2 linked regions of the Kluyveromyces lactis genome follow. Each later gene encodes a partner of the first gene's protein in a complex. Links are inferred from orthologs where the notes say so. Each region holds a gene or a part of one and is shown in the gene's direction. Other genes may lie near its edges. The genes, in order: PSE1 and ULP1.

Evidence for each region.
Region 2: the proteins of PSE1 (region 1) and ULP1 are in contact, whole or in part, in a crystal structure (PDB 5H2V), measured with the Saccharomyces cerevisiae proteins. The link is inferred for Kluyveromyces lactis from reciprocal best matches to the Saccharomyces cerevisiae genes PSE1 and ULP1. Residues at the interface, in NP_014039.1 of Saccharomyces cerevisiae: Asp346, Arg349, Gln350, Asp353, Leu357, Ser392, Ser393, Glu396, Cys429, Asn430, Gly433, Gln434, His470, Ala473, Ala474, Val476, Asn477; in NP_015305.1 of Saccharomyces cerevisiae: Gly51, Ile52, Tyr53, Lys54, Lys55.

The regions. Positions count from the first base shown.
Region 1 is NC_006039.1:1,223,567-1,227,937, reverse strand, and holds the start of PSE1 (importin PSE1), read left to right. Parts: upstream 1-1,535; coding exon 1,536-4,371. Other genes in the region: KLLA0_C14190g (CBS domain-containing protein), read left to right, coding at 1-889. UniProt on the Saccharomyces cerevisiae protein: Functions in nuclear protein import as nuclear transport receptor. Serves as receptor for classical and arginine/glycine-rich nuclear localization signals (cNLS and rg-NLS) in cargo substrates.
Region 2 is NC_006042.1:1,012,956-1,016,670, forward strand, and holds ULP1 (SUMO protease ULP1), read left to right. Parts: upstream 1-1,536; coding exon 1,537-3,204; downstream 3,205-3,715. Other genes in the region: KLLA0_F10978g (uncharacterized protein), read right to left, coding at 1-833; MutS family protein MSH4, read right to left, coding at 3,259-3,715. UniProt on the Saccharomyces cerevisiae protein: Protease that catalyzes two essential functions in the SUMO pathway: processing of full-length SMT3 to its mature form and deconjugation of SMT3 from targeted proteins. Has an essential role in the G2/M phase of the cell cycle.

The DNA.
Region 1 (4,371 bases):
TGTCCTTCAATTAACACATGCTGCGCTCCGTTGTCAATTTGCTACAACCTCAAAAAACGTTTCGTCACAGTCTGCTATTGAAGAACCTTATTTGAAGATAAATTCGGTTGACTCTCCCTTGGGTTCTTTGCTTGTAGAGAAAGATGTTGATGAAAACTACAGGACTGGATCAGCATCTGAGCTAGAAGTTCCTTCTTTATCTATAAATTATTTTTGGAAATCTTTTGATGCCTCTGATAATGAAAGTGCTTCTTCTAGTCAATTATCTTTGGTAGATTTAACACAAACAATAGGTAACTTTAGCTCCCACAAACAGTTACAACAATCGCAACTTCATTTGCAACAACAACATCAACAATATCCTTCACAATCACAGCAACCGATCCCAGAACAGTTTTCTGGAAGAAGAAGCTCCACATTATTACAAAAAAAATTCTTCGAAAATGGAAAACATACCAAATTCCGATTGAAAGTTACCGTCGTGAAGCCTAATAAGGATAATCAAGTTCTAGGCTCTATGAAATTCAAGACTCAGTCCGGAGTAAACTTTGAAAAAGACGTCTTAAATGAGATTGTAGCCAAAGTGAAAGAAACTTATGGAATCGAATCACCGTACTCCATTGAGTACATGGATATCGAGATAAAAACTAATGAAAAATTGCATCAAATTTATGACGAGTTCATTGTTATGCAGGGCTCCCGTCACTATATGCCTTTGCTTTTTATTCTGCATGATAAGCAGTCAGGTGTTTTCCACCACCTACGTCAGTTTTTTAAAACGATGGCAACTCCATTCACCGCAGTGTTTCATACTTCCTCATTGAAGATATACATGCAGGCATGTATAGTCTTCTTCGCTGGTTTTATGGTGGGAAAAGCTTTAAAATGAAACATTCGGGGAAGTTACTGGTTATCCTTGCCATATACCGATGTATATAGATTATACATTTCCACTCATAATTCTTTCTTATTAAATGAATAAACAATTGGCTGCCAAGAAAAAAGAAAAGAAGCACTAGAACATCTATCAGAAATACAAAGCAAATATGGAAATATATTCACATCAATTAACCGTTTCCTTCTTCTGCTATATTAAGAACACTGTCCAATGACAGATGACGACGATCTTGATATTACAGAGAGCACCACTATGTGTTACCCGCATATCACTATGGACGATGCACTATTAGTTTGACCTGCCAAATTTTTCTTCCTTCTCTGTTCCTGTGATTCCAAATTATACATGAAAGAACAATTCGTTCTAAGATCAGATATTTCAGATATATTGAAAATTGAATAGTAGTACATTTTATGTTACAGTTACTGGTTTTTGCTGAAGTTTTAGCATTGAACATAAGTTCGCCTTCGTTGCAATCAGTATATTTTGACGGTAGGAAAATTGAGCTTGTAAGCAATAATCTCTATTGAGGGAGAGAATCGAAAAGCTGATAGCAGTATAGTTTACTTTGTTTGTTCTTTGTTCTTCTACTATCCTTTTCCTTTGAATCATTTTTTGTGGTGGCTGATTCGAAACAATGTCAGTTCTACCGGATGAAGTGAACAGCACCTTGGTGAAGTTGCTACAGGGCTTTGCATCACCAGACAATGCGATTCGTTCGGCGGCAGAAGATGCTTTGAATAACAACTGGATTACACCGGAGCACATCGAAGTTTTGTTGATGTTTCTAGCGGAACAATCTGCATATTCTGATGATTTGACTACTGCAGGTTTGTCTGCAGTTTTGTTCCGTAAGCTAGCTTTGAGAGCGCCACCTTCATCTAAGACTATAATCATTGCCAAAAATATTACCCATATTTCGAAGGAAGCCTTGAAGCAAATTAGAGATACACTTTTGAAGGGTTTTATCTCCCAAAGACCCAACAATATTAGACACAAATTATCTGATGCAATTGCAGAATGTGCGTTAGAAGAATTACCTGAGTGGCCTCCGTTACTCCAAACGTTATTCGAAGCTATCAAAAACACAGATCCAAATTTCAGAGAATCTAGTTTCAGAATTTTCTCAAGTATGCCTCATCTAATCAATTCCATTGACATCAACCATGCTTTGCCTATCTTTGAGAGTGGATTCACGGATCCTAGCGATGAAGTCAAGATTGCAGCTGTTACAGCGTTTGTTGGGTACTTCAAACAGCTTCCAAAGAATAACTGGGCCAAACTAGGTGTTCTATTACCAAGTCTTTTGAACAGTTTGCCAAAGTTTTTGGATGACAGTAAAGATGAGGCCTTGGCCGCCGTATTCGAATCATTGATCGAATTAGTTGAGTTGGCTCCTAAACTCTTCAAAGATATGTTCGATCAAATTATCCAATTTGCAGATATGGTCATCAAGAATAAAGATTTAGAACCGAGTGCCAGAACGACTGCTTTGGAGTTGTTAACTGTCTTCAGTGAATGCGCCCCTCAGATGTGTAAAAATAATCAAAATTACGCCCAATCAGTGGTACTTGATACCCTTGTCATGATGACTGAAGTTTCCATCGATGATGACCAAGCAATCGAATGGCAAAATTCGAATGATGTAGAAGAAGATAATGAGGAAAATACCTACGATATGGCACGTCAAGCTTTGGATCGTGTTGCCTTGAAATTAAACGGAAAATACTTGGCCGCACCTTTATTCCAATTCTTACAACAAATGATCACATCTTCTGAATGGAGAGAGAGGTTCGCAGCATTGATGGCGTTATCATCTGCTGCAGAAGGTTGCCGTGATGTATTAATGATCGAGATAGATAAGATTTTGGAAATGGTTGTTCCACTGATCGATGATCCACATCCAAGAGTTCAATACGGTTGCTGTAATGTATTGGGTCAGATATCCACTGATTTCGCTCCTCTCATTCAAAGCACTTCGCATGAAAAAATTTTGCCTGCTTTAATCTCTAAGCTCACTTCAAGCTCTGTCGACAGAGTTCAGACCCATGCAGCGGCTGCCTTGGTGAACTTCTCCGAACAAGCTACGCAATCGATTATGGAACCTTACTTGGATAGTCTTTTAACTAACTTATTAAGCATGTTGCAAAGTTCCAAGCTGTACGTTCAAGAACAGGCCTTAACTACTATCGCATTTATCGCAGAAGCAGCCGAAAAGAAATTCATCAAATACTATGATACATTAATGCCATTATTGATAAACGTGTTGAGAACCGATACAGGTACTGAAAGCAGAGTCTTGAAGGGTAAGTGTATGGAATGTTCTACTCTTATTGCATTAGCTGTGGGCAAAGAAAAGTTTGCCTCCTACTCTCAAGAATTGATCCAGTTATTCATAACTTATCAAAATGAAGGTATTCAGGACGACGATCCTCTAAAGACTTACCTTGAACAAAGTTGGAGTAGAGTTTGCAGGATTCTTCGTGAGGATTTTGTTCCGTTATTGGATGTAGTTATTCCGCCACTACTTGAAACTGCCAAGGCTACCCAGGACGTTAGTTTAATTGAAGAAGAGGAAGCTGCAAACTACCAACAGTATACAGATTGGGATGTTGTGCAAATTCAAGGTAAGCACATCGCTATTCATACTTCAGTTTTAGATGATAAAGTGACTGCTATGGAGCTTCTACAAGTTTACGCCACTGTGTTGAAAAGTTTCTTTGCATCATACGTTAAGGAAATCCTTACAGAAGTTGCCGTCCCATCTATTGATTTCTACTTACATGATGGTGTTAGAGCTCGTGGTGCTACTTTAATTCCTGCTTTGTTTACCTCTTTGGTATCGGCTGTAGGACAGGACAACGATATCGTTTTACAATTATGGCAAATTGCATCTAATAAGCTAATTTCTGGAATTATTTCTGAACCGATGCCAGAAGTTACTAAGTCGTATCACTATGCTCTTGTTGATTGTTTGGGAATTGTCGGAAACAACGGATTAAATCAAGAGCAATTGTCACAATTTACACAAGGTGTGAACAATAACTTAACCGACGTCTACGAAAGAACAAAATCCCGTTACGATCAGGATGACGAATACAACGAAGATGTTGATGACGATCTTGATGAGTATACCGATGAAGATTTGCTTGACGAGATTAACAAATCTTTAGCTGCTGTTTTCAAATCAGCAGGTGTTTCTTATCTACAGCAGTTCCAGACTTTATGGCCAATAATACATTCATACTTGCAGGAGACTGAGGTATTCATTTTATTGTTCGCCTTGATTGCAATTGCTGATATGATAGAATACACTGGCGATAACTCTGCACCTTTCAAACAGCATTTCGTTCAGAAAATTAAGGAGTGCCTCACATTCCCTGAACCCTCCATTCGCCAGGGTACTGCATACCTACTCGGAGTATGTGCACAATATGCCCCCAACACCTACTCTGACATATGTTTGGGATCGT
Region 2 (3,715 bases), on another chromosome or scaffold:
TCTTCGTCATCATCAGTCTTGTTTTCCTTTTCGTTTTCTTCACCTAATCTGGTCATCTCGTTACCTGCATCCATGTTTCCAGCTTGTACAGCGCTTTTTATGGTTTCAGATGCAACGCCTCTAACAACCATAGTGATAATTTTCCTCCAACGATTTCTACAGGTTAAACTTGGCCTAGCATCCATTTCCGTCGATATTTGCCTCCATTTCGTACCATATTTCTTGACCTTCGCTATAAGTAGAAGATCTTCCGTCTCATCCCAAGGTCGTAGTCGGTCTTTAGTACTGGGATCAAGCACTTCGATGTACCTCTTCGCGCATTGGTCTTCAGTTCTATTCTCTAAAACGTAGGAAATCTTAAACCATTGCGGACCATGGTGTTCATATGATTTTAAGAGAAGCTCATCCTCCTCTGGTGTCCATTTACCTTTCTTCAATACAGGATCTAAAGAACTAGTCCATCTCTTTTTCACATCCGTCGCTTTCTTATTATCCAATTCGAATTGCTTGGCAAGCTGATCCCAGGGAATTTTTTTGACAACATTACTAGATTGCTGAATTGTTTTAATAGATTTGATACCATCCGGATATCCCAAATTTACTAACGATTCGTTAACCAATTTTCTAAGCAGATCATCTTCTTCTTTGGTCCATATTTTCCTCATCTTTCTTCTAAACGTTTGATACCCTAAAGATTCTGAAACCTCAAGAGCATTGACTGGTTCCTTCTTAACTCTCTTCCTCAAATTGCTCATATGCTCCTCTGACATATCACCCGAATCGTCACTCACACTGCTAGCTACAGTTCCTTTCTCACTCGACGATTCATTCATATTCCAGTCAAAATAGATACTTGATCCAAGATACTGATTTCTTGATAGAAAAGTCAAAAAATTAGACTGAAATCAAGTTTATTAATTAACACCAATTTTACTACTTCTCAACCAATGTTTTTGAGATTGTTCAAAACTTTATAGCAAGTGTATCTCGATATTTCCGTTATGACTGTTAGTACAATCAATAGATGACGATAACGATAAACTTCTTTTTGTTTCTGTTAATGATATTTTGGGTTGAAAACCAAGTTGTAATTTAATACAGCTCTGAAACTGTCTACACAGCCTTGTATCTGCTGTGATATAGGCGCTGTATTCACCGTTTTCACTTCGCTTGATAGATACCCTGAGAGATACTCTACATAGTTATGATGTCAAATTTGAGTAATCTTAGTCTGGCAAATTTCTTTATTTTCTTTTTCAGGCAGAAGGGCCCTGGCAGAAATTTTGTGCACGTGATAGTATCCGGGTAATGTTTAAATAAGTATACATTTCTCAACATGGATTGCATCTCTGTCGAAAAGCTGCTTTCAATTATCAACAATAATAACTTCAGGAACGAAGAAACGAGGTAATATATGGTAACTTACAGGCTACATGGCAGCTGAAATACTAGTTTTGAGTGTTAGTTTAATTATTGTAACCGAATCATTTGTTAAATTCTAACTTTCACCACTTATATGAAACTGGCGTAGAAATAATGACGGTATCGTATCATCGAAAAGGGTTTGATGACATTAGTGATTATTCCAGATCAACGGTGATAACTGCAGATGTCTCTTCTAAACCATACTATTTCGACCGGAAAGGTATCAAAGATAGTTTAAATTCTGGTAATGAAGCACGTGATAGAGGTAGCGAAAGTAGGTGGAAATCGTTGGGATATAATACTGTCCTTTCAACTCTTTTTGATTCAGCAAAGACATGGTTTTCCTGGATTGATCCTTTGGAGCAAGAAAATGGGAAAGATCGTACCATTTCCAACACTACTGGAGCAAATTACGACAGTTTGAAAAGAGGAGTTGATGAGGAGTCGACTCCGAGAAAGAAAATTCATTTAGACTCACTGCTCCAAGAGAAGGAGCATTTAAGGGAACAGTTACAACATTCAATTACTCCAACGAAAGAAGTGTTGAAGTTACCTAAGGATCCTTTCCATTGGGATAATACTAATGAAGAAAACTATACAGAATCCTCACCTACAAGAGTACAATATGGAACTAGACTCTATAGAAAACTCAAGCATAAGAACCAGCAACAGCAGTCCACTGCATTAATTGCTAAACCGTCCGATGAAGTATCATATTTAAAAAATTTATTCAACGGAGAATATCATGTACCGATTGAGATGCAAAAGGAAAGGGAAAATCAGCTCAAACTTCTTTCAAGAGATAACAGCCACAGCAGCAATGCCAGTACAAACAGTAGTAATAACAACATTGTAAGGCTTACAGAAAGGATTAAGGCTTTAATTTTGGAAAACAGGAAATCAATAGGCCCAAGTACCGAAAGAGGATCTACAACTGATGACATAGTCATAATAAGAGAGCACAAGCTTGATCCATTAGAAGAGAAAAGGAAACAGATCTACAATCAGACGTTGAAATTTGATCGTTCTCTCCTTACTTTTGAAGAAGAGTTCAAAAGCTATTCTCAGTTGATTGAAGAAAGAAGGAAACTAGTAGAGCAAGTGAGGAAAACCGCCAAACCACAAAAACTGATACCTGATCTATCAACTGAAGATTTATCGGAAGTGAAAGCAACTTTCAATAGGTCTGATAACGCTGTTCTTTCATCCAAGTATATGTTGGAAGTAACTGTGCGAGATTTCAAGACATTAGCCCCTAGAAGGTGGTTGAATGACACAATCATTGAGTTTTTCATGAAGTATATCGAACAAAACACTGCCAAAACTGTTGCATTTAACTCATTTTTTTATTCTACTTTAGCTGACAGAGGCTATCAAGGTGTAAGAAGATGGATGAAAAGAAAGAAGGTTGATATTTTAGATCTTAATAAGATCTTCGTTCCTATCAATTTGAATGATTCTCATTGGACATTGGGTATAATAGAAATGAAGCAACACAAAATTTATTATCTTGATTCTCTTTCTTCTGGAATGAATTCGGTCAGTTTCCTAATTATGAAAAATCTCCAGTCTTATGTGATGGAAGAAAGCAAACAAAAGCTTGGTGAGGATTTCGAACTTTGCCATATTGCTTGTCCACAGCAGCCAAACGGATTTGACTGCGGCATATATGTTTGTCTGAATACACTTTATATGAGCAAGGATTACACTTTGAGCTTTGATTCTAAAGATGCAGCAAACATGAGAAATTACATAGGTCATTTAATATTAAGTAAATAGAATTAAACTCTTTTCGTTGACGAATACTAAAATTTGCTATTCTTACCACTTGTTTCAGACTATTTCAAACGTTGAAATGAAATCATCTTGTAGACTTCGCAACTCTTCAATGTCAATTGTTTTTTCATGATTACAAAACGCTTTGAGTTTTTGTACTAAATAATAAACCTGTTTGATTTGGGTAGTTTGACATGCATTATCACAAGAATCTTCCTTTGCAATGATTTTCAAACCTTTTCTTTTGCTAGCTCGAAGTAATTCCGATATTTTGTATGCTTCCAACATAATTCTTTCACTGAAAATTCGTTTACAAATCATCATACCGTATCCTTCTATCTCTTCTGATTCTGTGGAGGCTTTATATTTCATTTTGAGATGTGATTCCTGATCAATCTCAGTTTTCATCTCAAGATGTAAAACACGAGGCTTTGGTGCCAATATTTTAGGAATATCTCTGAAATGTGTCGATAGAAATACAGTAGCATTTTTGGAAAGGAGATATTCCGATATA